Linked DNA regions of Arabidopsis thaliana. The protein of the gene in region 1 interacts with the protein of each later gene in a pairwise test. Each region holds a gene or a part of one and is shown in the gene's direction. Other genes may lie near its edges. The genes, in order: CIPK8, CBL1 and SOS3.

What was found.
Region 2: the proteins of CIPK8 (region 1) and CBL1 interact in binary tests that used the Arabidopsis thaliana proteins (3 or more experiments, as listed by UniProt).
Region 3: the proteins of CIPK8 (region 1) and SOS3 interact in a two-hybrid assay, tested with the Arabidopsis thaliana proteins (one study listed by BioGRID).

The regions. Positions count from the first base shown.
Region 1 is NC_003075.7:12,612,762-12,623,487, forward strand, and holds CIPK8 (CBL-interacting protein kinase 8), read left to right. Parts: upstream 1-4,217; 5' UTR 4,218-4,617; coding exon 4,618-4,776; intron 4,777-4,860; coding exon 4,861-4,923; intron 4,924-5,016; coding exon 5,017-5,088; intron 5,089-5,173; coding exon 5,174-5,281; intron 5,282-5,355; coding exon 5,356-5,430; intron 5,431-5,528; coding exon 5,529-5,582; intron 5,583-5,661; coding exon 5,662-5,787; intron 5,788-6,057; coding exon 6,058-6,147; intron 6,148-6,519; coding exon 6,520-6,642; intron 6,643-6,803; coding exon 6,804-6,920; intron 6,921-7,033; coding exon 7,034-7,150; intron 7,151-7,313; coding exon 7,314-7,370; intron 7,371-7,453; coding exon 7,454-7,528; intron 7,529-7,618; coding exon 7,619-7,720; 3' UTR 7,721-7,953; downstream 7,954-10,726. Other genes in the region: AT4G24380 (dihydrofolate reductase), read left to right, coding at 1-17, 94-315, 400-529, 617-825; AFB4 (RNI-like superfamily protein), read right to left, coding at 1,148-1,918, 2,016-2,514, 2,604-3,205. UniProt on the Arabidopsis thaliana protein: CIPK serine-threonine protein kinases interact with CBL proteins. Binding of a CBL protein to the regulatory NAF domain of CIPK protein lead to the activation of the kinase in a calcium-dependent manner.
Region 2 is NC_003075.7:9,813,103-9,823,068, forward strand, and holds CBL1 (calcineurin B-like protein 1), read left to right. Parts: upstream 1-3,251; 5' UTR 3,252-3,508; exon of another isoform or gene 3,509-3,644; intron 3,645-3,884; exon of another isoform or gene 3,885-3,916; 5' UTR 3,917-4,039; coding exon 4,040-4,118; intron 4,119-4,532; coding exon 4,533-4,615; exon of another isoform or gene 4,616-4,878; coding exon of another isoform or gene 4,879-4,914; coding exon 4,915-4,974; intron 4,975-5,078; coding exon 5,079-5,187; intron 5,188-5,277; coding exon 5,278-5,330; intron 5,331-5,450; coding exon 5,451-5,531; intron 5,532-5,627; coding exon 5,628-5,921; 3' UTR 5,922-6,251; downstream 6,252-9,966. Other genes in the region: AT4G17610 (tRNA/rRNA methyltransferase (SpoU) family protein), read right to left, coding at 21-320, 404-614, 702-1,177, 1,280-1,386, 1,474-1,567, 1,653-1,808; AT4G17616 (Pentatricopeptide repeat (PPR) superfamily protein), read left to right, coding at 6,506-8,530; AT4G17620 (glycine-rich protein), read left to right, coding at 8,903-9,311, 9,394-9,641, 9,725-9,790, 9,940-9,966. UniProt on the Arabidopsis thaliana protein: Acts as a calcium sensor involved in the signaling pathway during growth and development and in response to abiotic stresses. May function as a positive regulator of salt and drought responses and as a negative regulator of cold response.
Region 3 is NC_003076.8:8,237,925-8,250,091, reverse strand, and holds SOS3 (Calcium-binding EF-hand family protein), read left to right. Parts: upstream 1-6,648; 5' UTR 6,649-6,961; exon of another isoform or gene 6,962-9,864; 5' UTR 9,865-9,912; coding exon 9,913-10,003; exon of another isoform or gene 10,004-10,105; coding exon of another isoform or gene 10,106-10,121; coding exon 10,122-10,204; intron 10,205-10,281; coding exon of another isoform or gene 10,282-10,294; coding exon 10,295-10,354; intron 10,355-10,441; coding exon 10,442-10,550; intron 10,551-10,658; coding exon 10,659-10,711; intron 10,712-10,830; coding exon 10,831-10,911; intron 10,912-11,016; coding exon 11,017-11,129; intron 11,130-11,232; coding exon 11,233-11,311; 3' UTR 11,312-11,609; downstream 11,610-12,167. Other genes in the region: AT5G24275 (En/Spm-like transposon), read left to right, coding at 1,423-1,503, 1,587-2,262, 2,363-2,486, 2,569-2,642, 2,862-2,956, 3,026-3,124, 3,207-3,273, 3,355-3,440 and 6 more.

The DNA.
Region 1 (10,726 bases):
GGTTTCAATTCAACAAGGTCCTTTGTTTTTCTTCACTTTCTTCTCTTTATTCTTTTGATTCGTATGTGTACTAACGTTGTAATTTGGATTCAGGAATTCACCGAGTATACGAATTTCGAGAAATGTTTGGAGTACCTGGAGGATCGTATGATCAAGCTTGGTCCTTTCGATGGTCTCATTGGGTTTTCCCAGGTAAGTTATCTACATTTGAAATTGCATCAACAGAGTCTGATTTGTGTACTCTCTTTGAAAACTCTAAATTTGATTTTGCAGGGTGCAATTTTGTCTGGGGGTTTACCAGGACTGCAAGCTAAGGTACGTCAATACTAATGACACTATAGTATTCATGATCATATTTATTTACAAATTCTGTTTCTGATTCATTTACAACTTTTGCAGGGAATTGCATTTCAGAAAGTACCAAAGATTAAGTTTGTTATAATCATTGGAGGAGCTAAGCTCAAATCCGCCAAATTGGCCGAGAATGCATATTCGTCTTCCTTGGAAACTCTCTCCCTCCACTTTTTAGGTACATTCTGCAAAAGCTGATTTGAAAATTCTTCAAAACCTTGTTCATTGATGATCGAGAATCTGATAAATGGCTTGTTTGTTGCAGGAGAGACTGATTTTCTGAAACCTTACGGAACTCAGCTGATAGAATCGTACAAGAATCCGGTGGTTGTCCATCATCCCAAAGGCCATACTGTCCCAAGGCTTGATGAGAAAAGCTTGGAGAAAGTTACCGCATTTATCGATACCTTAGAGCATCTGGTGATGGAGGAAGACAAGAATGGTGAAGAAAATACTAGTAAGCCAACAAAATAGATAAGCTTAAAATGTTATGTATAACGAATAATTCTTTGGATAATAATCGTGCAATGACTGTAAATAAATCTGGCAATGTTTGCGAAAAAACAATTATTACAACACAAACAATAATAGACGATTCTTTCGTTCATTTTCATACATTGTCTTCCTTTGAGCTATAATACTCTTCTTGGTGTATATAACGAATCCAAAGAAGAGTGAAAATGGCAAAACAAATCATGCAGTGTACCTGAAGCACTTACAGTTTACAAACACATTATCTTCTGCTTGCTAGTTTTGCTTTTCCCCAATCATGGCCTCATTTGCACCAAAGTTTTTCTCATAAAATTGTTACAAACTTTGGAGCATCCTTCCTTGGGCCATCAAGGGATCGATACAAGTACAATGTCTCAACATAATCCCCAGTGACAGTGTCTTCGTCATCATCACCATCGGCTCCAAATACTTCCACGACTACATTAGGCAGAGCATGAGAAACACCCCTGCAGCCTCCACGGGATATGAGACATGACGACAACCAAACAAACCTCATATTGGAATACCGATGCATACCAGAGCGCAATCCAACATCTCCAAAGGGACTGTCCCTGATCTCAAGCTTTTGTAGTTTAGGACAACCCTCAAGAACGTATCTCAGAGCCTTGTCACTGTTCCCAGCAAACGCTACAGATAGCGTACGGATCAATTTCCCATATTCTCCTATATAGCTAAAAGCTTCATCTGTTAGTAACCCTGATACTGCAAGTCGGGTTAGCTTCTTGCAGTTTTTAACAATGGCACCAAATCCATCGTCCATTGGCTTTCCTGTCACGTGGTCAGGCCTATGGCGACCCATTATGCAAAGTCTAAACACAGTAAGCTGCGGGCAGTTCTCCGACATGGCTGTCACAGCTCCATTGGTCATATTCTGGCAAAAGTACAGGATAGATTCCAGTTTCCTACAGCCCTCTGAAATTGCTTGGAGGCCTACTCCCGAGACAGGACCTTCACTGTCTTCACGAGGATCAAAAGGGAAAATCCGAAGCTCACGGAGCTCCTTGCATGTGGCAGCCACTGCCTGTAGTCCTTCATCACGTATCGAGTCAAGAGCCTGCATTATAAAAGTTTCAAGATACGCATGTAACTCAAAGTCCTCGGTTAAAGGATATTACACTATACTATACAATGAGATCAATAAAGATACATACCCAGAAGACTCGGATATTGTGACAGTTGCTTATGATGGGCTTGAGCATGTGAGGAGAAATGTTAGCATAACTGAAGTTAAGAGAGGTGAGATTAGCACAAACTGAAGAGATGGCTAGGAGGTATTCCGGTCTAAATTCCCTGAATCCTGAGAGACAAACTATGGATTTACAAGCACGAAAAGCAGCTGCATAATCCGGTTGTTGTTCTCCCTGAGGCACATTGTCTGGACTAAATGACCCCGTCCCAAGACTCGTTAACTGCGGCGCTCGAACCATTAGTCGATGCAGCTCTTCAAGGGAAACAAACCTGTTCGTTCTAAGTTTCTTCAAGAATGGTGACCTAACCACGAGCTCCTCCAATGCCTTGAAATTGATAGGGGATTCAACACAGTCAAAAGACAAAGACTCCAGATGAGTTTCACCCTCAGGAAAACAAGAAATCCAATCCAACTCATCATCTGTGACTTCTGACTCCATCAAATCAAGGACCTTTAGCTGCCTGAAAACAAAGTCCCACTTGATAAGCATTTCTAGAAGACTCTGAGAACAAACAAACAAACAAACAAAGAGAAGAGATCTACAAAGTACCTGCATTTGTTAGCAACAATAGCAATACCACTAGTCCCAAAACCTTCACAGCAGACCAAAGTAAGCTCTTTGAACCCAGGAAACGACTCAGCAAGAAGAGCCAAATCATCATCCGTAACAAACATACGCTTCAAATGAACCTTCTCGAGCCAAGGATAAGCCTTAGCTGTAGCAGCAACCCAAGGAGAGAATTGAGCTCCCCAATTAGGAGGCATGAGATTAAAATCAGCAAACCTAGGTTTCCCTTTAAGCACAAGAGACCTAACACGCTTGAACCGGTGAATAAGCCGAGCAGGAGAGAGCGAGTAACAGTTTCCAATAAAAACCTCTAATCGAGTCTGAGCCTCGACGCGATACCACGATCTGCAGACCAATGAGACTGCGTTGCGATCGCATCTGGAAGTGAGGAACTGAAGCACGTTCTCTAAAACGTTCTCAAGGACATGATCTGGACACGGCGGGGGAGAAGATTTGAAATTTCGAGACTTGTTCGTGAATGTAGCGGCGGAGGAAGAAGAGGAGGAGGAGGAGCAAGGTGGATTTAAGTTGAGATATTTCTCAACATCCTCTGACATTTTAGCTGAGCTATCTTCTTCTGTCATACAAGTAAGTGATGAAAAACAAGAAAGACTCTGACTTTGATCTTATCCAGAATTTATGAGCTCAGGTGCTCTCTTTCTGATACAAAATCTGATTCAGATGAAGAAGAGAGATAGGTGAAAAAGGAGCTGGTCTTGGTGTTTGGACTCTCTCTCTCTCTCCATTTTCACCTCCATTATTTAGGAGACTATGTAAAAGAAAAAAAAACAAATATTTTTGGTTTTGCACATTATTTTTGTTGATGAAGAAATAAAAAGAATCATCAAGTATTTTGTGACCAAACATGATTTTTAATCCTATTAAAGATTTGTACTTCTATTTTAAGGTGTGACAGGTGACATTTAGAGTTTTATGTAAGTGGTAATCATGTAAACTTGTTGAATCTTAACCAAAATTAAAAGGATTTAAAAGTGTTTTGTACTGTTTCTTTAAATGAATAATACTAATATCTAAAGTCACTTTCATCCTTTTTTAAGTTAATGCATTTTACATGAATTTAATTTTTATCATACAATCAACTTTTCGATTGTGTTCTCTTAAGAAGGCCTCAAGGCTTTCGTGTAAAGGAAAAATGTTTGGGCTTATTATATCTCATAATATGGTGGCCAAAACAAGATCAAAGGTGATTAATGGTTGGTTTACTGCCAATAATGGGTTTTGAAGATAAGTGTACTGTATGCCTTATTCGATTATCTTTTCAAAAATGTGTTTGCTTAATTTTCCACAAGGCAAATTGTTATAGATATCTTCAAATATGCTTCTTAAAATTTTCAAAAGGCAATTATTTAGAATATGGATAAATTTCAAATAAGTTCCCTAAAAGAAGAAATTTCGAAGTCAAGTTTTATAGAATAAGTCATAACGACGTTGTATCCATAGTCTTGGTCACTAACTACTAATAAATGGGTCATAAGTCTATAGATATTTTTCAAAAGCTAGGAGTCGTATTAGTGTGAAATTATGGTATAAATATACTGACCTTCCATTACAAAGAATGACGTGTAAACAACCAAATATTAGAATGTGGCAAGTAGTCGCCGAACACGTCTCCTTCGTCAAAGTCTCCTTTTCTGACTTCTCTTTAACCCCCAACCCCTTGTTACTTTAATTTGGCTCTACATAGATTTGTAATCAAACACAAATCACAAATCTATATATTTTCCCTTAATTACTTTGGCTTTCTATTGATTAAAGCTTCTTTAATTCCAATTTGCAATTTAAACACCTATCTCTTTCCCAAATTTGAGACTTTCCTAATTAATTAAAAGCTTTGCTCTGTATATTTGTCGTTATAAATTTAATTTTAAAATTCGAAACTTTTTTTCTGCCTTTCCTCTTTCTCTCTCTCTATCTATCAAACACTAGACTTGAAGAAATGCAGTGAAATTGAAATTGAGTAGAAGCAGAAGAGAATATGGTGGTAAGGAAGGTGGGCAAGTATGAATTAGGTAGAACAATCGGCGAAGGTACTTTCGCTAAAGTCAAGTTCGCTCAGAATACAGAGACCGGTGAGAGCGTCGCCATGAAAATCGTGGATCGTAGCACAATCATCAAGCGCAAGATGGTGGATCAGGTCCCGTCTCTATCTTCTTACTACTTACTCTCTTCGATTTCATTTTGGCTGAGATATGATTAGATTGATGACATGTGTTAGCAGATTAAGAGAGAGATCTCGATTATGAAGCTTGTTCGTCATCCTTGTGTTGTTCGTCTTTATGAGGTAAGTGAATGTTTTGCTTCTTCTTCTTTGCTTTATAATTTACTGAAAGATTCTTGCTTTCCATTTGGGATTTTGATATTTGGTCCTTTTTAGGTTCTAGCAAGCCGTACAAAGATTTATATCATCCTGGAGTACATTACTGGTGGTGAACTGTTTGATAAGATTGTGAGTAGCTCTTGGTGATGATTTTTACAGCGTTTTACTCTGTCAGATATTGTTGAATGATTCATTTGTTTCATTGCTACTATAGGTTCGTAATGGACGACTTAGTGAGTCAGAAGCTAGGAAATACTTTCACCAGCTTATTGATGGAGTTGATTACTGTCATAGTAAAGGTGTTTACCACAGAGATCTAAAGGTGAATACTTGCTAAGAATTAATACATTTCTACCACTTGTTCTTGATCTGATGATTGTCTTGTGTTAATTGCAGCCGGAAAATCTTCTGTTGGATTCTCAAGGAAATCTCAAGATATCTGATTTTGGCCTCAGTGCATTACCTGAACAAGTAATGGGGGTTCTCAGTGACATCTTTTCTTTCAAATTTTGAGAATTTAGTTTGTTATTGGATCATTATTGACTAAATTATCTTACTTTGATCTGAAGGGAGTTACCATCCTAAAGACAACATGTGGAACTCCCAATTACGTTGCTCCTGAGGTAAATCAAATATCATAATGTTTTGAAATTTAATGTCTTTCTTATCATAGCTTATGTGTTCTTCTCCGTTTTGGTTTAGGTTCTCAGTCACAAGGGTTACAATGGTGCCGTTGCAGATATTTGGTCCTGTGGGGTCATCCTTTATGTTCTTATGGCAGGATATCTTCCATTTGATGAAATGGATCTACCAACTTTATATAGTAAGGCATGAGCTCTGCTGTTGTTGCCTCTTGATTCTTGATATTTTGTTTTGTAAAGTTTCTTGTTGCTGCCTAGTTTAATTATCCCAATTAAACACTAGGATTGAACAAGCAATATCTGCAGAACCTGTAATAGAAATCGTTATGGCTAAATTATTTTCACTGTAGTCAAGACTCCCTTTCTCTAAACCTTCCGTGTTATGTGCTTGTAAGGCATCTATGTACTTTCTTTCTGATATGGTTTCCTTTTCTTCTTATTGTCCAACATTTTTCAGATCGACAAAGCTGAGTTCTCTTGCCCCTCATATTTTGCCCTGGGGGCAAAGTCCTTGATTAATAGAATTTTGGATCCAAATCCAGAAACTGTAAGTTTTGAGTTTCCGTGCAGATAGCTTTGTTTAGATCTTTTTCAATCCTGGCTACTGTATTTGAAAGATGTGTTACATGTTGAAAGAACAGCAGCTTGAAAAAGAGATATCTAGATTACACTATAATCTTTGACCAGCTCCAATTGAACATATCATTCTTTTCTACACTTGAATAGACCCTAGAACTAGTCTAAGCATTTTCTTCCATAACTGTCTGGACCATTTTGGAAGGTCTATAGAATATGGATAATGTGCCAACTGAAAGAATTACAGGACATAGTTGTCGGGTCAAGTTGTCCCAGTTACTCTTTTCGATGCAAAGTCTTGACAAATCTCGCCTTGCTTTTGTTTTTCTTCTTTTCCTGGCAGCGGATTACAATTGCAGAAATCAGGAAAGATGAGTGGTTTCTAAAGGATTACACTCCTGTACAACTTATCGATTACGAACATGTAAACCTGGATGATGTATATGCTGCTTTTGATGATCCGGAGGTAGGATTCAGCTAGCACAATTATTTGTTTGCTGTTGAGTATTTGTGTATAAATCATGTGTTTCCAGAGTTACTGTTGTTCTAAGCTTATGAGATTATTCTTCTGCCTGCACTCAGCATGATCTAATAATTTGATGTTCTATTTAACATTATACGTTGCAGGAACAAACATATGCACAGGATGGAACAAGAGACACAGGTCCACTAACTCTAAATGCGTTTGACCTAATTATTCTATCTCAGGGCCTGAACCTCGCAACTCTTTTTGACCGTGGAAAGGTACAATACTGGGTGTGACCCCACTGTGTGCATTCCTATTCCTTATTTAATTGTTCTTTCTCTTTTCTACATGTTATACAACTAATACGCTAATCTTTCATGTGTGTTGACAGGACTCCATGAAGCACCAGACAAGGTTCATCTCACACAAGCCAGCAAACGTGGTTCTCTCAAGCATGGAAGTTGTGTCACAGTCTATGGGCTTTAAGACACACATTCGTAATTACAAGGTGAGGTACTATAGTAAGAGTTTGGTTAGGCATTCTTATCGGTTGAAATCGCTTCATTGTTTTTTGTGATGTGTATCTTAACATTTCTTGAGAGTTTATATATCATATCATCATCTCAGCCTTCTCAAAGCACCCAACAGCTGTTAACCGTTTCCATTTTCAGATGAGAGTGGAAGGATTATCTGCAAATAAGACATCTCATTTCTCCGTCATACTAGAAGTAACTTCTCTTAAAACCAGTCCAACTTTTTTACTTTGGTCTCTCTATGTTCGAAGTCTCACTAATCATTTTCAAATCTGAAGGTCTTCAAAGTTGCACCATCAATTCTCATGGTAGACATTCAAAATGCAGCAGGAGACGCAGAAGAATACCTTAAGGTTAGTTTCGGAAGGAGACCTTAGTGTTATAAGTTCACCTTGAGGGATTGTGTGACTCCGGAATAGTAAAAACCAGTTTATGTTTTGCAGTTCTACAAGACTTTTTGTAGTAAGCTTGATGACATCATTTGGAAGCCGCCAGATGCATCTATGAGAAATCGAGTCACCAAGGCCAAGAGTAAAAGACGTTGAATCCACGTGCGTGGTATTCAAGCAGAGCTTTCACAGAAGACAGTTAGAAACAATATTTAACTCTCTGTGTTTCTTAAGTGCTTTAGTCGAGTGAATATGTACAAGCTTGTTGATTTGGTTTTAATTTATGAATACATAGAAGATTGTACTAAACTTATACGATATCAAGACTAAATTGAGTGAAAATTGCTGATAGTTTCTCCTGATTTGAATACGGTCTGATGCGATGATCCATATGCTTCCAACATAATTCATTTATTCTCATACATTCACCAGTCTCGTCCTTCTGAGTATATATGTATACTGGTAGGGACGTCCCTATGTTAATTGGCTTTGTTCCCTGCCACGTTTTGAAGTAGTTGATGCAGCATCTCAAACACGTTTCAGTGTCATTCTATTTTCCCTCCTTTTTAGGGATTAGATAAGAGTTAAGACTCTCTATTTTCACACAAGTGTGTGGTTGGTTTGCTCTAGAACCAAAAGTGATATTGAGTTTGACATTCACATTATTCCTTAATGAAAGAATAATATTATAGTAGTAGTATTCACTTAGGCTTCAATATTATGATTCGTCAACCCTGCTGAAATAGAATTTAAAATGATATTGAGTTTGACATTATGTTATTCCTTATTGTTACTCACCAACTTTAGCATAATGTTTTTGACTCTCGAATCTAATCTTTCAACTTACCAGTCTTACAGGTGTTTATCAGATGCATGCGTACAAAATATATTGTAATCGGAACTATTTTTTTATAGTCTAGTTGATCTATATATAATGTTTCTTTCAATATGAAACACATTTTATAATTTATGAATGAACTTAGAAACATTATAAACTCAAACCTCCCACAGAATTATCTTTCCTGAGCCAGGACAAATGCACATCTTAAAAGTTTGCTGCAATGTATTAAAACATAAAAAGTAAAATCACATCTTAGTTAGCTTTTAACTTCTTCAAAAACAAAAAAGAAAAACAGATTATTGTTGTTCATGTTTTACAATGTCTAACAATGTCTTCTATAAAGTAATTAAAAAATTATTGTTGTTCATGTTTGTATATGGAATTGATATACGAGATTTTGTATAGTTTACATGAGATTTCCTAAATTTAAACTTATATAACCCATCATATTACATTCATCGTGATCACCACCATCCATCATTCGAATTGTCAACATTTTTTAATATATATATTAGTTTACGGCATGGAAAAACTACAGTGGTCGTGGCGCTTCCAACTTCACAAATTTAAAGTTGTTTATGGCAAAAGACGAGTACAAGTTGGTCCATAACACCATAAACATATAACCAAGTAGCTGCAACTTGGTACTTCATGCTTAGTATTATATACGTAAATATAATTATAATTTTTGTTTCCTACTAGTGACGACGAAGAAATTCGATATTAGTAGTAGTTTGAACATTTTCATTACTTAAACTAGTGCAAGTTACAACACATCTTTCTATGATTCTGTTCTTTTAACTAAAGTTTCTATATTGCTTTTGAAAATTATTATGTATTAACAATAGTATATTTCATAAATTACTAAGTTTCTTTACAGATTGATATGACAAGTTGCTTATATATTTTGTGGCCTAGTAGTAGTGTCACATGCAATGGATTTGGTTAAGTAGAAGTATAGAACTATATATAGAAAGCATGAGAACTGGAAACAAATTTGTAATGTATTTCGACTGAATTTTTTATTTGTTATTCATTTGGCCGAATGGTTTTAATTTGCTATGATTTTCGCTTATGTTCACAAAACGATACACGAGGACATTTCTACAATACATAAACCAAAATACAGAAACTAGATGATGGTCATATTAAATTGTCATTTTGAAACCAAAACCACTTCTTCTTTATAAAAAAAAAGAAAAGAAAAAAAGAAGAAGATATGAATTTTATGCAAGTGTAAGGACATGCATTGCAAAAACATCTCTTAACTATTTTTATAAAACTGAATTTTTTGATTATTAACATAAACATGGATTTATATATATAAAACATCTATAACTTATTGAATTGAGTTTTCAGGTTCACGTTTTGGTACACATTTTACGTCAATTAGTTCGACTCAACTACACTGCTTTAATAAAACAATTGTATTATCAAATCTTTTGTTCTAGAACCTCTTAAACTTTAAATAATTCTTAAAAATCTCGAAAAAAATTCTTTTTTAATCAAAAGAAAGAAAACAAAAACTGGACGAGCCAAAATGTGACCTACGAGAGCTATGATCCGTGTGGTCCTTCAAAGAATAACCAGCGAAATCTGTATATAGATTATGGCATAAATATTATAGGTATCAATAAACTAGGAGAGAAATGTACGAGCCTGACAGATCCGGAAAGAGCTAGAAAAGAAACGTGACACATTTGTATTCATTCAAGGAGACAAGTAAATTAAAAGCCTAACTTTTATTGGTCCGTTTGATCAACTCAGAGCTGGACATGTGTCTTTTCCTCTTTTTCTTCAATCTTTCGCGACTCTTCTCTTCTTCTCTTTTCTATTCTACTTTTATTTTTAAAAAAAACATTTTTATTTGTTTAAGATTTAGGTTCACATTTAACAAAGGAGAAAATTTTATACTACTAGTAGAATCCACTGTTCAGCTAACGGCTTGCCTTTGCTCAGCTTGACCGACATACCCTAACACTTATATTTTTGCCTTCCATAGTGGGATTTGTACAAAGTTAAATTTGCAAAGTAGCCATACTTAATTATAATTAGTTTTCTGATTAGTTGTATCAAAAATGATCTAATAGTTTGATTCGTTTTCTAGTGGTAGAATCACATGTATAACATTTATTGAAAAATCAATCTTTTTACAATGAAAAGATGAATTTGTATGGGTAAGAAGCATGAGCGGCTTGAGCAGCGGCTTTATGTGAGAAATCGAAGCCCCACATGTCCCCAAATTCAAATTATAGATTAATCCAAATGAAATCTGATTAACGCACTAATCGATACTTAAGGTTTTAAATTACTCTCATTCT
Region 2 (9,966 bases), 2.8 Mb from region 1:
TACCAGAGAGATTAACTGACCTGGTTACTCCATGCTGCTTCTACAAGATGAGTGCCGTACTCCTCAAGCATCTCATACAAGAGCAGAAAAGCTTGCCATCCCTGCTGACTAGTCAACCCAGAGTCGACAGAGCCATACAATTCTCCGACGCCAAGCGACTTGGCTTCCTTTTCTGCCCACGTCTCCTTTCTTGTCATAGACCGATTAACTGAATTCCCTTCGGGCTTCTTCTCAGAAATGGTCTCACTCACTTCAATAATGGATAAAACTGATTTAAGTATATGCAATGACTGCTTCCTTACTAAGCTCTCATCAACAACCTGAAAAGAAATGTTTTGTACTCATGGATGACCCTATTGTGGAAATTGGAGAATCTGTAAGAATAGCGGTATTTTTGCCATACCAAGCCTATCTTGATTTCATCCCAAAACTCTTGTTCAGACCTCAAGTCAAATTGAACAGCGTCTTTTTCTGAAACAAAACTTTCAGTTCCGTCAGTCCAAGAGCCAGAAGAAAGACACAAAGACAGAACACTGTAAGCATCCCTTCTCTCTATTGATCCAACCGAGAACAGCTTCTTGCAGCATTCCCAAATTCTTTTTATGAAGCCATTCCTGGAGTTTACAGCTTTAAAAATCATTAAAGAGATCAAAGAAAAAAACTAACCAAAAAGCACATAAATTTTTGGTTCTTAACCTCACCTTGAAAGTATGAACAGATTTCCTTGGTGTGAGATCTTCAAGGATGACTGAGAAGAGAATGCCTTGAAAATAGCAGGGAGGAGGAAACTAACAGCACAAGAACGATGTTCTACACTTTGTGACAAAAGCCGCTCAGTCGTATTACACAAATCCCAAAGCATACCAGCTGCAAAACTTTCCACCTTCGGAGCTGCTTGGTGACTTTGAAAAGCAGCATTCAGAATCAAATTCAGAAGATGGCACGACAATGGAATTGGAAATGATCCAGACAACTGTGCAATGTAGTTTTCATCCATATCTATTGTATTCAAAGAATCACGGAGGCAGAGGTCGCCCCATTTGATGAAATCTGATTCTTCGTGTTGACGCATTCCCATCGAAAAACCAACTGATCTTAGTAAAAATGGCACCAAGCTCACTCCCAACATATCCAATACATTAGTCTCGATCACTACATCAAAGAACGATTCTACAATCTGGTACAATCAAACAAAGAAACCAAAAGAAACAACAAAATGATCAACAATCTCAAGGAGATCAAAACTCTAAGGACTATAGTCAACAGCAGAAATTTCTACCTTATTAAGCATATCCAAATCATATGCACGAACCATCTTCATCAATGGAATAAACACTCTCCACACAAATAGCTGCAACGCATTATGATTATCCGCAGCAACAAAGCCTGCTTCAACCTCATAACCATCAATTAAACAATTCTGTAATCACTAACACATCATACATATCTAAAAATTCAAAATTGGTAACTCACCAAAATTCTTTAGTAGATGACAAAGCCCAGCCACCAATGAAGCTATGTGGTTGCAATCATCAGAATCAAATCTCTTGTCCCCATTTACCGTATCCTATTCAAAAACATGTTCAAATCTTAAATTGAACAATCCGAAGCAAATTGCCGAAGTGTGAAACAATAAACCAATCAATCAATACCTCTAAACGAAAAGGGAATTGCTCAATGAGAGATTCGAAAAGAGTTGAAGGAGATACGCCTGTGGAGCTTAAAACACAGTCAAGGAAAGCAGGAATAGCTGCTGGTGGAACTTGCTTGAAGCTCAGTGACAATGAAGTAATCACTGACGAACCCATTTCAATTGAAGCTTCGAACTTCAAAAAAATTGGCTGCAAGCAGCCAGAATAGATGAAGAAACGTAAACGAATTTGAAATTAGTACAGAGGGAAGTGTTACGAGGAATCTCTCTGTTAAACCCTTTCAAATAATTTTCATGGCTTAGGACAGATAAACCCTAGTCGTATAATTAGGGGGGAAATTAGAATTATTGATAAGGGCTTTCTTGGGCTTAACTTAGTATGATTGGGCCGTATGGGATAGACTTCAGGAGAAGAAAAAAAAAAAAAAACCGGAAATTGTTCGGGGGATTGAACCCGACGTGAATCGAACACGCAACCTTCTGATCTGGAGTCAGACGCGCTACCATTGCGCCACGGATCCGGATGTTATTATGTTGCATTTATAAAATTATAATACCGTAGTATACGCAAATTAAACAAAACATTTTGAGGACGCGTTCCCAACACGGCCGGTGACCAAAGAGTCAATTTAAGCCCGCTTTAAAGATATCAAAATGATATAAAACTCTAATTGATCGAGTTAACGGCAGGAGAATCAAAGCTACTAATCATAATCAAGAAATTTAATATATATACGCTATTATTATTGTTTTGAACGATAAACACGTGGTCTGGTCGTGATTAAGGTCCTAATTATGTCAACGTTTGCCTGCCACATTGCAGACCGAAGTACTAATTCCACACCGACTGGTCTACGACATATTTAATTCATAAACACAATACTTTATAATTAAATTGATTCTTGTAGAGATTTGGCTTCATGATCTGATTTATTTAGTTAATAACCATTTCAACAGATAATTACAGTTTAGAGCCTTTTTCCAGTTGTCAAGAGTGTTATGGTTTTAAAATGGCACCCTGTAAATATCACATATGTTAGTGGATTTATTTTACCAAAGAAACAAAAAATGTTAATGGATTAAAAAACTTGTGTTTTTTTAGATAGCAAAACCAAAAGAAGATATGGTGACCACTAACACGATCAGTCGAAGACAAATGTTTCCCAGACTTTATTATTGGCGTTTCCATTTTGCATATTAGTCAAATTATGGAGCATCGCAAATATCTAATAAACTAACTATATAAAAAGTTATTATAATACAGGGTTACCAATTCCGTATATTCAGAATATTCCTAAGAGGTGCCATTTTGACTAATAAAATGGACGGATCTTTGATTTATTCCGGAAGTGAATGGATATTAGAAGAAACAAAAGAAATTTTGAATTTCTTGTCCAAAAAATATTTTTCCCATTCTTAGTATACAGAAACATAGAAAATATCGTGTATGCTTACGTAACAATCAAGTTGTAAAAAGAAAAAAAGACAGAAGATAAATAGTACAGAATGAACATAACAGAAATCAATCTATGGAATTAGGTACAATTAGGTTCGGTCTAACTGAAATTACATGACGACAGAAAAAACTGAACTAAACGCCGATTCTATTAACTTCCAAAACTGACTCGTCTCACACGCGCTTACTATGATTCACACGTGCGAATATGCCATCATATAAGCGCTACTAAAATTCATTCCAAAGGAAAAAGAAAAATAAATAATCGATCTCAACCGTCCGATCATCCATCTTGCCATCACCGTTCACCAATCTTCTTCGTCTCCTCTCTCTTTCTCTCTTTTTGCTGTTTCTAGCTCCTCTCTCTCTGGATCTCGCCGGCGAACCGTTTCTCTTGGGTGGTGAGTGTTGCTTCTTATTTTTAAGAATCTTTTTCTTTTATTTCCATCGAATTTCGTTTTTTTGAGTTTGATTTTTGGCCTGTGGAATTCTCGATGTTTCTACATTGATCGTCTGGTTTCGAATCGTGTTTTACTGGTACAATTTTGATTCCATCTCCGTATCTTATGGATTCGAAGAACTTTGTGTTTTTTTTTTCTTTCTTCATTGATGCTACTTTGCTAGGGTTTACACTTTTTTCTTCCATGGTAAAAAAATTTGAGCAAAGTTGTTGAGATTCTTCTAGACTGTTTTCAATTTTACGTTTCACAAAGATTTTTTTAGATGATTTGTTTCTAATGAAATGGCATTGTTTGTGTTCTGTTTCCATATGTGTAGATTTTGAAAATATGTTTGTGATGATTGTGCAGTAAACAGTAGCAATCAAGCTATAGAATCTCAGATATCGCTGAATTAGCTGTTGGATTTTATCCGCCTTTTCTTCGTTATCCGGGGCTCGGGTATAAGGTTTCATCGTCTTATTTCATCTGTAAATGGGCTGCTTCCACTCAAAGGCAGCAAAAGAATTTCGAGGACACGAAGACCCTGTTAAGCTTGCCTCTGAGACAGCTTGTAAGTTTACTCGCGCTATAAGTTTAAACCTCCTCTAGATTCATTTCTCTCAAAGCTGCATGTTCATTTGTTTTCTGATATGAGATGAGAATCATCAGTTAGATTCAAATCATTCTTTCTCTGTTCACTGATTTAGTTTATCTCCGGTTTGGATTTTTTTAGTTTTGTGTTTTGGAGTCTTTGTCTGCCTAACAATTTCTAGTAATGATCCTTCAAAGTTGGTTAACACTCTATCTCATGTTTCTTGTTACCAATACCATCACCTTAATCTTGTTCCTTAACTTGTCAAGACGAGTTCTCTCTCCATGCAAATTCTAAATGTGAATTATTAGTCTCTTTGTTTGTTTGTTTGTTTGTTCCTGGTAATTCTTTGTTTTGATCTCGTAGTGTTGCTTGTTTTTTTCTCTTTTCCAGTTAGTGTGAGTGAGGTTGAAGCATTATTTGAGCTATTCAAGAGCATAAGCAGTTCGGTTGTTGATGATGGTCTGATTAACAAGGTACAAAGTTTGTTTCTTTTGACCCAATTTGGATCTTTTCATGACCCCATCGTTGTATCTTTTTGTTCTTTACGCTATTCATCTACAGTATTTTTCAACTTAGTTGACTTTATTTGAGCAATAATTATTCTTCCATGACGATATGTCTGTTCCATATTGCATCGATTCAATGTATCGTAGCCCTTAATGTTTGACTTGAACTTAACTTATTTTATTGATTGCTTTGATTTTGAATTTTGAAGCCTTCATGGCCCACCTTGTTTATGTTGTTTTTTAATCCTGGCTTCACATGTATGCAGGAGGAGTTTCAACTTGCTTTGTTCAAAAGCCGGAAGAGGGAGAATATATTTGCTAATAGGGTAAAATCTTAATTCTTCAGGCTTTTACAAGATTCATCTTCTGGAAGAGTGATCTAAACCAAGATAATATGTCCATTATCCTAAACAATATTGCTTTTCCGCAGATATTTGATATGTTTGATGTTAAACGAAAAGGAGTCATCGATTTCGGGGACTTTGTAAGATCACTCAATGTTTTCCACCCCAATGCTTCTCTAGAAGACAAAATAGATTGTAAGTTGACATAAGATAGTTTCATATATAGGTGTTTATTGAAGCTTTTGTGAAGAGATTTATTGATTCTGGTCTGCCATTTTTTCTCAGTTACGTTTAGGCTTTACGACATGGACTGCACGGGTTACATTGAACGACAAGAGGTAATACTAACTTGCAAGCTTTGAATACTAGTCATGATAGATCTTTGCCATGTTCTTGAGTATTCATCTTTTACTTAATAACTTTGCAAGAAATCGTTAATGAATGTGATATATTTGCAGGTCAAGCAAATGTTGATCGCGCTTCTCTGCGAATCTGAAATGAAACTGGCTGATGAAACCATAGAGATAATACTCGATAAGGTTTGTTGTTGTCTAAGGCTTTATTTTTCTAGATGGTATACATTTAGAGATGATGTTCTTAATGTGGTTTCCTTCGTCCTTCTCATATATGAACAGACATTTGAAGATGCAGACGTGAATCAAGATGGAAAAATTGATAAATTAGAGTGGAGTGATTTCGTAAACAAAAATCCATCATTGCTTAAGATCATGACTCTTCCATATCTCAGGTATATTACAAATTGCCTTTTATGGAAACCAAAGAAAACTGAAAAATGCCAAATGAAATGTCATATTAACTTGTACATAAACAATGCAGGGATATTACGACAACGTTTCCGAGTTTTGTCTTCCATTCGGAGGTCGATGAGATTGCCACATGAAGAAACAAACTGGTTTAAGACCGAGTAGATTGCCACGAGTTGGAAGAACAAGTCTGAGCTAATCGGTGTAATCAACATCTGTTTGTAAACAGTAGTAGAGCATATTCTCTTGAAATTGTTTGGGTTACTTTTTTCTTCTCACAACAGTTTAAAATTTTGGGTTTTTAGCTTACAAAAAAAAAAAAAGAAGAAGCGCGTAATCACCAATCCTTCACTTCATATAGTTAGGAAATGTTAATGAGTTTGTACATATTACATCATACGTTTGTTGTAATTGTTTTTTTTCAAGTAAAAAAGTAAAGATTTGTTACGTTTACTCGGGGTTCTAATTGTTCCAATGGAATCTTATACTGCAAAAACGTGAATTTGAGATTTTGTTGGGTCCTTAACCGCAAAAGCGAAAGTACGAATGTCCTAGGACCCGACCCGATGAAATTTACAGTCTTGCCACTCTTCTCTTGTTACAGTGTTCCTCTCTTCTCTCTCGATTTCGAAGTTTCCAGCAATTTAGGGTTCTTTCTCGATTGGAGAATTCGTATGTTGTTATCATGTTCTCGTCATTGTTGTGCTTTCTTTGTTAAATTCTAGATTTGGAATCGAAATTCTAGACTAATGTTTAGGAAACGGAACTTAGTTCTAGAATCATTTCGTCGATTCGATAGCGGTAACGTAGAAACCCTAATTTCATGGGTCTTGTGTAGTCGCACCTCAAAGCCGTCTCTGTTCTGTACTAGTGTTAAACCTGCTAGATTAAACTGGGAAGTTTCTTCTCAAGTAATTCTCAAGAAGAAGCTAGAAACAGCTCTTAAAGATCACCGTGTAGATGATGCTTGGGACGTGTTTAAAGATTTCAAACGCCTCTATGGATTTCCAGAGAGTGTAATCATGAACAGATTTGTTACTGTGTTGTCTTACTCGTCTGATGCTGGTTGGCTTTGTAAGGCTAGTGATCTTACTCGTTTGGCTTTGAAGCAAAATCCAGGTATGTTAAGTGGCGATGTGTTAACAAAGTTGTCGTTGTCTCTAGCGAGAGCTCAGATGGTTGAATCTGCTTGTAGTATCCTTCGAATAATGCTGGAGAAGGGATATGTTCTAACCTCAGATGTATTGAGGCTTGTTGTGATGCATATGGTGAAAACAGAGATTGGGACTTGCTTAGCTTCGAATTATTTGGTTCAGGTTTGTGATCGTTTTGTGGAGTTCAATGTGGGGAAAAGAAATAGCAGCCCCGGGAATGTTGTGAAGCCTGATACGGTCTTGTTTAATCTTGTACTTGGTTCTTGTGTGAGATTTGGTTTCTCTCTCAAAGGCCAAGAACTTATCGAGCTAATGGCAAAAGTTGATGTCGTTGCGGATGCGTACTCGATTGTGATCATGTCTTGTATTTATGAAATGAATGGTATGCGGGATGAGTTGAGGAAGTTCAAGGAGCATATTGGTCAGGTACCCCCTCAACTTCTTGGTCACTATCAGCATTTTTTTGATAATTTGTTAAGCCTGGAGTTCAAATTTGATGATATCGGTTCTGCGGGTCGGCTTGCCTTAGATATGTGCAAGAGTAAGGTCTTGGTTTCAGTTGAGAATCTTGGATTTGATTCTGAAAAGCCTCGGGTTTTGCCTGTTGGGTCACACCATATCAGATCTGGGTTAAAGATCCATATTTCACCCAAGCTTTTGCAGAGAGATTCATCTCTCGGAGTGGATACTGAAGCAACATTTGTTAATTATTCCAATTCCAAGCTTGGTATCACAAACAAGACTCTTGCCAAGTTAGTATATGGGTACAAGAGACATGATAATCTCCCTGAGCTATCAAAGCTTTTGTTTTCGCTGGGTGGATCCAGGTTATGTGCTGATGTCATTGATGCTTGTGTTGCTATTGGTTGGTTAGAAGCTGCTCATGATATTCTTGACGACATGAATTCTGCTGGCTATCCCATGGAATTGGCCACATATAGGATGGTCTTGTCAGGTTATTACAAGAGCAAGATGTTGAGGAATGCAGAAGTTCTTCTGAAACAAATGACGAAAGCCGGCCTAATTACAGATCCATCAAATGAAATTGTGGTTTCACCAGAAACTGAAGAGAAAGACAGTGAAAACACAGAGCTCAGGGATCTCTTGGTTCAGGAAATCAATGCAGGAAAACAAATGAAAGCTCCAAGTATGCTCTATGAGCTAAACTCGTCCCTCTACTACTTCTGCAAAGCTAAAATGCAAGGAGATGCCTTAATAACCTACCGGAAAATCCCCAAGATGAAAATCCCACCAACTGTCCAAAGCTTTTGGATCTTGATCGACATGTACTCATCTCTTGGCATGTACCGGGAGATCACAATCGTGTGGGGAGATATCAAGAGGAACATTGCAAGCAAAAACTTAAAGACAACACAAGATCTGTTAGAGAAGCTTGTGGTGAACTTTCTCAGAGGCGGGTATTTTGAGAGAGTAATGGAGCTTATCAGTTATATGAAGGAGAATGATATGTATAATGATCTAACCATGTATAAGAATGAGTATCTTAAGCTTCATAAGAATCTATACAGAACCTTGAAAGCATCAGATGCTGTAACAGAGGCTCAAGCTCAGAGGCTTGAGCATGTCAAAACCTTCAGGAAACTAGTTGGTATAGTATGAGTGTATGACTTTATTTACGTATCCCCTGTATTACATTTATACCTTATACATACGGTTATAGTCTCTCTTAATAATTCTCTCTTTCTTCTCTCTTCAACTCCTCACGGTAACAACTTGTGCGGAAGTTAAAAACAAAAGTTTGGGAGTTTTTGGAATATTATTGAAAATTCAGGGATTACTTAAAAAGTTGCTCCTAAAATGGGCCTTTAATTTATATAAAGCTAAACTGGCCTGACTTTTAAACCGACTGAACTCAAACTCGGTCGGGTCGGACTTTTAACACTCGGATCTGAGCTATTTGGGTTTGGTGGCGTAGAATTCGATCGGAAACTCTCTGCAACGGAAGGAGAAATAGAGATACCTAATTTGGTCATGGATTCACCGCCGAAGAAAAATCCTATGGATGATTTGTTCGGCGAAGACTCCGACAACGACTCACGATCTTCGCGTTCGAAATCGTCTTCTTCCGGTAATGCTTCTTCGTCTTCTTCCTCCTCCTCGTCTTCTTCGTCTTCGTCTTCTGCAGCGGGAGGAGATGGAGAGGGAGATGGAGGTGGTGCGGATTCTGGCAGCGCAAGCGATAGCGGAAGTGGAAGTAGCGGCGGGAAAGAGGAGCATGGAGATGATAAAGTAGAGAGCTATAGAAGCAATGATAATGGAGAAAGTGGAGTTTATCCTTATGAAGAGGAGGAAGAAGAAGAAGAAGATGAGAAAGATCTTTTTGGGTCTGATAATGAAGAGTATACTAAGACACCTGCAATTAGCACTTACTCAATTCCAGGTTAGTTCGAATTTGCTTGAGACTGAATTGGCTTTTGGGTTTCTCTGGCTGCTAAGTATTTTCTGTTATGAAATAATGACAGTTTTGCCTGCGGGATGGAGCAATGATAACCATGGTGGGAGAGGGGGAATGGGACGTGGTCGTTGGTCAAATGGGAGAGGAGGACCTGGGCTTCTTCCTCGGCCTGGACCTTACCCTGGACGTGGTGGTAATCGTGGTGGTTTTGGCGGGAGATACCAGAATTATCAGCGTGATGAACGTTTTGTTTCTGAGCTTAAGCTTTCGAAAAGCAAAGAAACGTTGGCTAGAAAACAAACCAACTTTCAGGAGGTAATATATATCAAGGAATGCTGTTTTAACTACTACATTTTTATGGTTATGGTAACGCGTTTCGAATTGCTTGATATTAACAGCCATGTGAGCTTACTTGCTACAGTCGAGTAGAAGGTGGAGAAGTAATCTACGATGACCAAGGATTGGTGAGGCGTTTGGTGTTATAGTTCCTTTAGATTCTCTCTTTTCTTCTTTTGTCATCCCATTGAACTATTTAATTGATGGGGTATATGCAGACCTTTAAACATACCAACTATCACAGCTTATATGTATCCACTTTGTTCTTGTTTCCCAGAGGCTTTTCAAACGTCATATTGGTGAA
Region 3 (12,167 bases), on another chromosome or scaffold:
TTGATTGGAATTTGGCTGTCAAATATTATCTCGAGTTTAACGGCGAAAAGATTAAAGAAATCGTTCGATTTGACAAGTTTAAGCCTGATTTGTGCAATGTACTCCGTCTTGATGTGAGTCGTTGTTTTTTTTGTTTTTTCATTGTGCTACTTGCTCTGTTACTACACAAACTTATAGCTTTGAGACAGCTTTTGCGGATCTGATTTTAAGTTTCTCAATAATAATACTTGTGATAGTTAACATATATAATTACAAGTTTATGTGTCTTTAAAATACAAGGTTATTACTTAGGTCCGAGTATGAATTTCTTCGTTTTTGTTGGTTTTGTTTATAGATTTGTAAGACGGCGCGTACAGAGAACCCGAGCCAGAGTGAAGAGTACAATCCTTCGGAAGAACAAGTGTTGCTTGGAGATGATAATGAAGAAACTAAGCAAATTTCAATGGTATGTTTCTGTGTACAACTTAGTAGAAATTGGTATAACTCAGATGATTTTGTAACTTGGCACATCTTGATATTGATTGTAGGATTCTGAAGAGGAAACTGAACCATTACGACCCTTGAAAATGTACTTTAGCCCCTCCGATTATTTGAAGCCATTCAAGATAGGAACAAAGTGTTATATTCATCAAGTGGTGAATATTTTGGAGAGTCATCTTTCAAGTGAGGAGAAGAAATGGTTTTGGGAGCATCCACAGTTCAAACATTTCTTCCATATGCATACGGATTCAAATCACAAGGTAATGGCCATGTGGATGCTTCTTCTTCGCACCGCTTGTGTTGATAAGAAGAAGGAATGTTGGTTTGTTGTCAACGGTGTTCCAATCCGCTATTCTCTTCAAGAACTTGCACTCATCTCTGGTTTATACTGCCATTCTTATCCAAAAAACTATAAAGCATTTGGCAGCTTAGGGTTCTCTGGTAAGCATTTTGGTGTTGGTGCAACAGTAACATATGCGAAAGTGAAGACAAAACTACTCTCAATGAAGAAATCTTCGAGAGAGCGTTTGAAAATGGCGGTCCTATTCTTCTTATGCAGCGTCATCATTGGGAAGAGAAAAACAGGGGAAAAAGCAGAGGCTGTGGAAGATTTCTTTCTTAAATCCGTGGAAGATCTAGAATGGTGTAAAACATTCCCATGGGGTCGATTAGCATTTGATAAGAATATGAAAGACATTTTTCATCTCATGGACCACTTTGATGAAGAATTGGGCGCAGCATGGGTGTTTCCTAGCTTCGTGATGCAGGTATGTATTTTGAATGTGTTTATGATATATAAACTGGTTACAACTGGTATAACTTGGTATAACTACTGTTTGAATGTTTTGGTGTTGTCTGTAGCTTCTAGCGTTTGAGACCATCCCAAATCTAATGAACAACTTTAGAAAACATGTTAGAGAAGCAGATCCTGAGTGTCCTAGGATGTGCAAGATGAAGTTCAAACCTAGTAGTATGAAAGGCTTTCCTATTTCGGAGTTGTATGATACTCTTGGTACAACAAAGGTTAGAAATGATTTAATCGTATATTATTACCTTAAATTTTAATTGAGAGTATAGGATACAAATTGTATTTTTTTCATTCACAGGAAATTAAGAGTATCATGCTTCCATCTCCTAGTGAAAAAGAACTTTTGAAGCAAATCATGGATGATGAGGTTGGACATGATGATGTGGATGATATGATTGTTGATGGTTGGACGAAGCGTATAATTAAGGAAAATAAGCCAATATGTTTTGAAGAGCTTCATATCCAAGATGTTAGTAGCCGTGAGATTGAGGCAAATCCAAAGAATGCGAATGTTGTTGGGGTAAGAGTTGGTCGGAAAAAGGTGGCTCTGAAGAAGGTGAGTGAAAAAGGAATTGTTGAGCAGCTACAGAAGCAGTTGGAAGATGGTTTAAACAGAATATATATGAAGATTGATGACATGGATACAAGACTTACATATGTGGAATCATGTGTGAAGAATCTAAAAGAAGCTAAAGATACTAAAGGTGAGAAGGAAGATGGAGAGAAAGAGAAAGAGTTGGAAGAGAATGACTTGGAAGAAGATGAGACTGAAACAGATAAAGAGAAAGAGAAAGAAGATGAGTCAAGTGAGAAGAGAAGCAAGGTGGAGAGGATGTACGGGAGAAAGAGAACACGCACAACAACGGCAAAAGAACAAGAAGAAAAAGGAGAAGAAATTCAAGTCGGTTTTCAAGAAACAAGTGAAAGAGGCAGAAAAAAGGCAAAGTTGACATGGAAGAAAGTGGATATTAAGGGTAAGGAGTCAGATTTTGACAAGGACTAAGAAGAAGTAAAAACTTTTGGTTTGTGTCAAGACTTGGTTAATGTGTGTTTTTTGGTATTATTATCATCTAGGTGTAACTGCGGATCAGGGAAACTCGATTACTACTAACGAAAGGGTGGTTGTTGAACCGTCTTCGAAAGTGGGAAGTTGGAAACTTGCTTCTAATCTCAAGTCCACGCGGCAGTATAATGTTCAGTAAGACTCCTTACATGTGACCTTTCTTTTGTTCCTGCACTTTAAGATCTCAACTTTGATCAATATAATGGTGTGTCTACAGGGTGGGTTCTTCACTTCCTCCTTGCTCTATCTCTTGCGTTGATGAACCATTTTCTGTCTCAGTTTCTTGTAAAGGTAAGCCTTATGCTTTAATTTTGTATAGTAATATGTCTGTGCTGCAAAATCTTAAATAGTGTTACTCCAACTAACTGACATTTTTATAATTTCTACTTTGTTTATGGAACAGAGAAAATTGACAACAGTAGGAAATGTTTTTAGTTACAAACTAACCTGATTTAGAAGAGTACTTTTCTGTAGAATGATAATTTACTTCACAAGCTTTTCATATTTCAGTTAATCCTGGACCTTTGAAGCATGTTGTTGAGAAGTATCCAGAGGCTTTGGAGAATTTGCTTCCAGGTTCTACTGTTCAAAATTATATCTTGGAGGTAAAGGTCTATTTGTTAAGTATTGAATAATTACATCAAATCAAGCTATGTACAATATTTTTTATGCAGGTGTTCGATGGATATAATAACCATGTTGCAGAAGGTACCAATGTTCTGATATGTATTGAGGGCTATTGTATCAATGACTCGATGGGCTTAAACCAAAAGGTGCGAGAATGTTCTGTTTATCACTGAACAAGAATTTAGCAATGTTCTATTTACTCTTCTAAGTTCATTGATGATGTCACAGGTTAATAGTTGTGGCTGCATTGATCTGTCTGGAATACTCCAAGTCACGGCTGGCTATGGGAAAACTAGTAACATCTGCTACCATTCTTTTGTAAGATGTAATAATTCATATCTTCTTATTTTCTAATGTCTTTTTTTTTAATATGTAGTATCTCTCTCGGTTATGTCTGGTATTGATGAGATCTTCAAGAAAGAGTCTCAGACTGAGAGACGAGAGCTCATGCTCTTAACAAAGGTTAGTATATCTGTAACATAGGTTTGATTGTGTCAATGCAGTCTTAGTTTGTTTCTCTTATTCTGTCTTTCTCATTCTGAAATCGTTTGTTTTGATCAGCTGCCTGAATGCTGTGTTGCTGGTTCAAATCTTACAAACCTCATTTTTAAAGTGACGGATTCAGATGGTGTTATGGATACTAGTATCCATCATGATGAAAAATCTGGATGTTTCCATACAATGAGCATTGAAACTGATTCAAGCAGCGATGAGAGTGAAATCAGATATGCCTTTGTCCATGGTTCCTGCAAAGTTCCTACTCTTTCTCTACCTGAGAGGGAGGGTGTCTTTTCTTTCAAGGTTTTCCATTCTCGATTTCCCGAGCTTCATCTGAGCTTAAAGGTAGTAATGTTGTGGACTGAGTTATCTTACAAGTTGCAATATGTTTTTACAATGAGTAGAAAATGCCGGTTGTTGATAACATGTCCTCTTGATTTACAGATTCAGCTTACACCTGCTCAAATACTTCAAAGAGATGAGACATCTTATTCAAGGATGGGTTTAACACCTAAATCAAAGATGGCTTCAACCACATATTCACCGGCTCTCAGTAGCCAAACTGGCCCGAGCCTGAGGGATGTGGCACAGTTCACTGAGGTATATGGCCATCACCATTTAAGCCACAGATATTGATGTTTACATTTCATTTATGCCTAGGAAAAGCAGAACGATTTCTCGAATGATCTAACTTTTGTTTTCCGAGTTAACTTTTGAATTTTCCTGCAGAGCTTTAAAGAAAATCTTATTGGATACAGTGAACACAGAGTGGAAATAGATGAGCGCCTACATTGTTTGGAAGCTGAACAAAACCAGGCTAAGGAAGAGTTGCGTACCTTGCAAGGTAACTATTATCATTTGAAGAAGTTTTGATAACTACGATGGGGATTGAATTTGCATTGATGCTTACCTGCTCATGTTGCCTAAACCTTTATCTCAGCTTCTCTAGAACCTCTCGGTGCTATGTTCCCAGAATGCCTATCCACCAAAGAATCAATGATGAAACAGATTGAAGAGAAGCATCATGACACTGCAGCATCAGTTTTCTGTTGTTTGTACAGAAAGTCACCGCCTCCACAGTCACTGTTTCTGTCAAAGAAAGGAGTATTTGGCCTCGTAGCACTTCTTGGTTCAGTTGCCTCCACCTCCCTTAGCAGGTGACATAAATTTATACCCACAGTGTTACTACTGATCATAGTGGCCAAAACTTTTGTATCTGAAGTCATTTGGTATGCAGGGTGTTATCTGAATATTTGGGAGAAGACATGTTGCTCGCTTTGGTATGCAAATCGGCACAAATTGGACCTAATAATGCTGAGTTTCTCAGGCTTCAGTCCAATCATCGGTTTCATGTTCTATGTCTTGATGCAATCAGGTATTTGTCAACATATCGATAGCTAAACCTTAGAGTCGTTTCTGACAGAATCATAAGTGATCTTTTCAAACACGCAGACCTTGGAAGGATGGACTTTTGGAGAACGATCCTCAGAAGAAATTAGCCATGGATGACCCAAAGCTGCCCGATGGAGATCCCATACCGGGTTTCAAGGGCTATGCCGTGAACATGATTGATTTGGCTCCAGAGGAGCTCACTGTTCAAACTTACTCAGGATACGGGCTTAGAGAGACTTTGTTCTATAATCTCTTTGGGAATTTACAGGTATAGAGACCCAAAAGCAAGTTAAAGCAGCTCTTCCACACATCAATGGTGGTGGTGCAGTCTCTTTAGATGGTTTTATCGCAAAAGATAACGGATTCATATATTCCGGGTGCAGGTACTTGACCTTTTCTTGATCCTTGTATCCGTTTTAGTTCTTGAATTTAAACTGTAAAGCTCAAAACTCGAGTTTTATTCCTTGCATCTGTATTTACTGCGGATGATATGATTTATGGTTTTTGGATCAGCATACCGGAATTTCATTTCCCGATTACACTAAAGGAGGATGAAGAAGTGAAGCTGAGAAAAATGGAAGCAGCAAGAGATAAAGTGAGAATGGCAGCGAAGAAGATAGAGGAGGAGAAGTGTTCAATGCGTAAGGTAGACAAGAAAATGAAGAAAACAAATGAAAAATATCACAATGTCACAAACTCATTAGAGCTAATCCAGTCTCAGTCTTTAGAGTAATGAGAGTAAAACTGGACCTAAAACGATTCAAACAGTTTGTTTACCTGTTGGTTATCGGTTTGGTTTTTGTGTTTTTGGATTAGTCACTTTTGTTCTGAAATTTCATTTTCTTTTTCGGTTAATGGTATTTTGTTCACCAATTTTCTATTTCAAAAGTTTGTTTTTGATCTTGCTGCTATGATCTTTTTAAATAACTAGATTTTTTGAACCATAACGAACATATTATAAGAAAATAGCCATGGTAGCAAAACCAAACTTTTAAAATATCACCAATCCAACAGACAAAAAGAGAATACTAGTGGGCAAAAAGTGAAGGAAAATTTATCATTTCACATCGTAATTTTTTGTTTAATTGAAAAAGTGCAAATGAAATGATGGGTCAACTATAAATAAAATAAAGATTTTGTAATTGAACTAAGAAAATAAAACTCTGTGGATCATGACGAAAGTTAGAAAAGTTAGGCACATGTAGTTTCAGTGTTGTCATGTTTTTTTTTATGTAAGAGTAGGAAGCTCTCTTATAGGACGGGTATGATCAGCTGACAAGTTCCAAACCCTATAAAAAGTGATGTACATTGTGGAATCTGGTAGCTTGACGATGATGAATGTGATATATCTCTTTCATAGTTACGTTTTCATGGTAATTGTTAAAATTTTCATAAACAATCGAGTTCATTTTTATCGGAATCATAATAATTACTACAAAAATGAGCATACGTATAAATGTAATTATCAATCATCTGTAAGAAAATTTGTATTAGTTAGTTTAAGAAATATATTAGCGACTTTTTTTTTGGTCACAAGAGTGTCCATTTTATTTATATCAAACATCAAACTAAGGTCCAAGACAAACACATCAAGCGAAGGTGTAAGACAAAATTTCTTATGAAATATATAATTAACTTTTTTAAAATTGGTGTATTTTCAGAAGTGAATAATATTTTAGGTTATTTTTATATCAAAAACTGCCTCTCATATTTATAATTTTTTAAAAGATTATTTGCCAACAACCACCACAAGTGTCAACAAAAGGAAATTAAAAAGTGAGGTGGGACTTGAAAACAGTACTACTCTAATATTTTTTTTGTTTGTCATAAATAGAAGGTCGAGGAAACATTGCTATATAGTTTATAGTACACGATATAAAAATATATTTTCAAAACCGACATAACATCGGGATCCATCTGCGCATGGACGGACACAAACCTAACCCGATGTTGGGAAGCTCGTCACAAATTTGTTCTTCTATTTAAATAACTCTCATTTTGCCCTTTTCCTCTTCCAACACCATTATTCAATTATTCAAGATCGAGACAAGTGAAGAGTCGACAAGAACATATAGAGATTCATCCATATCTTGGTTAGTTATTTTTGATCTTATTTTTTTTGTTTCTTCGATTCACCATTGCTGAGAAAATCTTTCATCTCTATCCAATGTTTTTTTTTTCTATCACTTCCATGTTTTGGTTTTCTGTTTCGTAATTTTTAGTCCACCTCAAGATATATGTAAAGGAATTCACTGTTTTCCTCTCTCTTTTTTTCGAAATGGAGGTTTATGAGCTTGAAGTTTATCCCATCTTGGGTTTTCTTCAAGAAAGAGTCAAAATATGTCCGTGTTTCCAGGAATCTTCTGATAAGATTTAGTATAATTCGGTTAAATATTAGAAAAAACAAACAAACCAAAGCAAAACCATTCTTTAAAACTGACTCAATTGAGTTCTTTAGTGCTATAGACTGAATTGAACCGTTTGATTTTTGTTTTTCTTCTAATTGAGTGTATAGTTTCCAACATTCCATTAATCATTCAATGGAATTTGGCTTTGGTTTTGGTTTCAATCGAAATCAAGTTATTTCAGATTAGAGATTACAAATTGGATCATATCCGGTTTGGTCCATCTCGGTTCGATTTTGGTGGGTGTTTAATTAGTTGGTAGCCATTAGATATTTAGAACTGTTTTTTTGTTTCTTGTGTCACTTTTGGTGATTTAGAGTCTAAGGAGAGGAGATGGCAAATTTGATTTCTTACTAAAAATCAAAGACCACACCTAATAAACTTATTTATAGCAAATAAATTATAAAAGTCAATAGCTGCAAGTTTTTTTTTTTTTCATTTTTACTATTTAAATACTTATAGAGAAAATAATTAATTTTAAAACGTCATATTGCTGCGTGGCCGGTTTGATTAAACAACATTTTTGTTATTAATTATACAAAAAGATCGCGAGAAGTAAACAACAAGATGAAAATACTGCTTCTAAATTAGATATGTCTAAGTTTGTTTACACGACGTACATTGAGTATGATTACGTATAGATCTAAAAAACAGGTAATGAGAATTTGGAGGCTCCACACATAACAAAATCAAAATGGTCCATAAATTAATACATTAATTAGAAATGTCATAGAAAAGCCAAATGCACCAAAACCTTCCTTAGGCATTAGTTGATCATTATTAATGATTCATTAATTAACCAACTAGGCTCATGTAGTTTTCAAATATATACTATATTAGATTTGAGGTTCCAAGTTCAAGATTCGCTTTGCCTGGTCAAAGACAGGCTCTGATATGTACCAAATTAAATGCTAGTATGGTTGAGGATTTTACGTGGCTTTTTTGGAACAAAACGAGATTTAAATATACTATATAGTCTCTAGATATTAGTGTAAGTGTAATCAAGCCCTTTTTGTTTTATTTATTAGTAAAACACATATAAATTGCCTACATTGAAAAAAGCAACAAAAGGTTGTCTCAATCTCGTGATTATTGATTTTTGATAAAGCATCACTTTTTAATGTGGTCCCATGGCCATTCATATTGTAACTCTTCTCTTAGTTCTCTATCCTTTTCGTTCAAAATCCATTCTAGTCTCTCTTCACTTAAAAATGTACTCACCAAAACAACTTAAATCATGTTGGGTCTGATTGGTAACACAAAACTTTAGCTGTTAGCTGGAGCGGTAAACTGTTACGAAATAGTACAAAACTGTCTAAAAGAGCTGTACAGAAAAGTTTAGAATAAAACTTTTTGTAACGTTTTTGATAAAGTTTTTTTGAATGGTAACTGTCAAAGTTGTACAGTTTGTACAACTTTGATAATGAGTTACCATTCAAAGCCGTTATTTATTCAACCTATCCGGCTTCTTATTATGTTCCTAAACTTACGACATGGTTGTATTACTCGCTTAAATGTGTTCTTGTGATTGAGTTGGACATAGGTTCAAGCTTATTTGGAAAAGAAAAGAAAACATCTTTGTAGATATTTACTAGAGTACATTGACTGATTCATGTATATACGTGGACCAACGTCGATTAGATTTGATATTGATCCGGTATTTGTATTTATGTATTATCTATATGTATGCATATATCATAGGAGACTTTGATCATTTATCTATGTTATTAGGGATAATAAAATTAGGAGTAAACTAATTATCTCTTATATCTATACACCTAGTCATTAGCGTGGCTAATACGGCGACTTGCCTACACCTTCTGTGAATTATATAATATTTGGTTTCATTACGTTTATTGTGAATCATTACTAAATTATAGATTAAATAGGGAAAACGCTGTTTTTGTTCTAATTTTGGCTACTTCTGTTAATGAATTGATTGTTTAGGGAGAGCTTACTAGCTGTCGTGAAAGCTACAACTATTTTAATGGCTAACTTTGCCACCTATATCCTATGTATTTATTATGTAAAAAAAAAAATGTATAAACCAATGACATAATCGTTCGTATAGCCGTCGACTTCTATTGTATATTTGCTCAAACGTCGACCCTTTCAAAATTTTAATATCGATGTTTGTCAAACTCTTGCAGATTTTGATGAATTCGACGCTAGATTGCCTTTAACGAAATTCAAATGTTACATATACATAGACGATATATATATACATGCATTAGATGTACATGATTAGTGCTCATCTACATTAATATTTCATGTATGTATATGTAATTAAATATTGAATTTCATTAGAAACATTTTGGTAATCTCGTGAGTTTGCCAAAATATGTTTACTTTGTTTGAGTTTGACCACAAAAAAAACACTAGAAAAGTCAATAACGTGACAAACTAAACAAGTTGCCTATTATTAATTGCACTCGATCTTAATTGGTTTGTTCTAGGACCATTTTTAGTAGAAGTAAAACCAGCGAAAACGAATGTAGGATTCAGTCGAAGGGTGTTTTATAAAATCATCAAATTATTAGGAACAATGAAATATCTGTAAATTAACCAAGATTATTTGCGTTTGGTTGTAGCGTGAGAAAAGCAAAGGCTAATAACAGTTGAGAGAAGGGTGTGTTTGTATGGGCTGCTCTGTATCGAAGAAGAAGAAGAAGAATGCAATGCGACCACCGGGATATGAGGATCCCGAGCTTCTTGCATCCGTCACGCCATGTTAGTTTTTAGTTTAAAATCTTATTAGTAAGACAATCTTTAAATGTTACAATAGCATGTTGTAGAGTTTGGTAAACTTTTTCAAATTTTATTTTACTTGTAATGGGAGGGACAATAGTCACGGTAGAAGAAGTGGAGGCTTTGTATGAACTGTTCAAGAAGCTAAGCAGCTCAATTATCGATGATGGTCTTATTCATAAGGTTTCTTCTTTCACTCTAAAAGGTCCATATGTAGACAGCAATTAGGTAATCTATATAGCTTAATTAGAGTTTAAAAGTTTGATGTTGCAGGAAGAATTTCAGCTGGCTTTATTCAGAAATAGGAACCGGAGGAATCTCTTCGCTGATCGGGTACATATAGTAACTACCTAGCTAGAACAAGTGACATTATTGAAAACATATGTAAATTTAAACAAAGTTCTGTTTTATAATATGCAGATATTTGATGTATTTGATGTGAAGCGAAATGGAGTGATCGAGTTTGGTGAATTTGTCCGGTCCTTAGGTGTCTTCCATCCAAGCGCGCCGGTCCATGAAAAAGTCAAATGTCATTCTTCTAGCCCCAAAAATTGTTTCATATTCATTCTATGTGAATTTACTTGATATTCTTTTCTTAATTGGCTAACTAACAAAGAATTTTCTCATGAATTTGCAGTTGCTTTCAAGTTGTACGATTTACGACAAACTGGATTCATCGAGCGAGAAGAAGTGAGTCCATTTACGGATACTTTGTTTTGGTACCCTCCAGATTAAACAGTTTTACTCCACTAACGTTTATGTGTGTTGATCTAACATGTATATACCATAATGAATTACATTTTGATTAGTTGAAAGAGATGGTAGTAGCGCTTCTTCACGAATCCGAACTAGTTCTTTCCGAAGATATGATTGAAGTAATGGTGGATAAGGTAATCACTCCCACACCGATGCACATTTGTTTACTAGATATTAATTCCAATACTGAAGATGATATGATAAAGAATTTATAAGGAAATGGTGGTATATATTTGCAGGCTTTCGTGCAAGCAGACCGCAAAAACGACGGAAAAATCGATATAGATGAATGGAAAGACTTTGTATCCTTGAATCCATCGCTCATCAAGAACATGACTTTGCCATATCTAAAGTGAGTTCATAATTTACACCGTGACCAACTTTGATCCAAACCAACTGCTTTGATTGTTGCATTGAATCAAATTGACTAATCAGAAGATTCTTGGTAAATGTAGGGACATAAATAGGACGTTTCCAAGTTTCGTTTCATCTTGTGAAGAGGAAGAAATGGAATTGCAAAACGTATCTTCCTAATATAAGCCATGCAAGGAAAGATAAATATACATAAAACGAATATTTTTGTACAATATCTTAAAAGAGGAAGATAGAGATGTAAGCTAGGATTTGGAAATAAACCGATCTTGATAACGATATTGGACTTGCCTTGTGTACTGTATATATTTAGTTATTTACATAGCGACTCTCCATCTCACATACATAATTACTAATTAAATATTTACAAATCTAGTCTATTATTGCTTCATTGTTGTATATACCAAAATATATGATCCACCTTTTGCGGATATTCATATTTTTGTTACATGAAAATATTCGTGTTTTTTTTAGAATAACAATAAAAAATTTGTACACACATGGTTTATTATTGTAGATAATATTAATATATATCAAACGAAATTTTAAAAGTAGATGATTTATGAAAATAATTTTTGCTTATTTTAATTAGTTCTTGAGTAAAATTATTTATACATTCTAGATATTAAATAATGTTGAATTTTTAATTGAATAAACACTTTATTATATATAAAAATTGAAAAACAAAGCAAGCCGAGGAATCTCTCTCTAATCTATCTCCAAGACGGACCAAACCAGTTTTAGTTCTATCTCTCAATCTCTCTGATCAGCTCCATTTCCAATGTAAGCCCACCAACTTCAACTCTAATCTCCATCTTCCTCTTCCTCTTCAAATTCGTTTAGTTCAACAAGTTCCCATCTTTCCAGTGTCAATCGACGATTCCTTTTTCCGTTAATACGCATGTATTTGATTCTTATTGCTGAGGAATTGAAGAACCATTTTGATCATTGTTGTACCCATTGATGTCAAATTCAAGATATAATTGATTACTGTTTGTTAATCTTCGTTGACGTGATA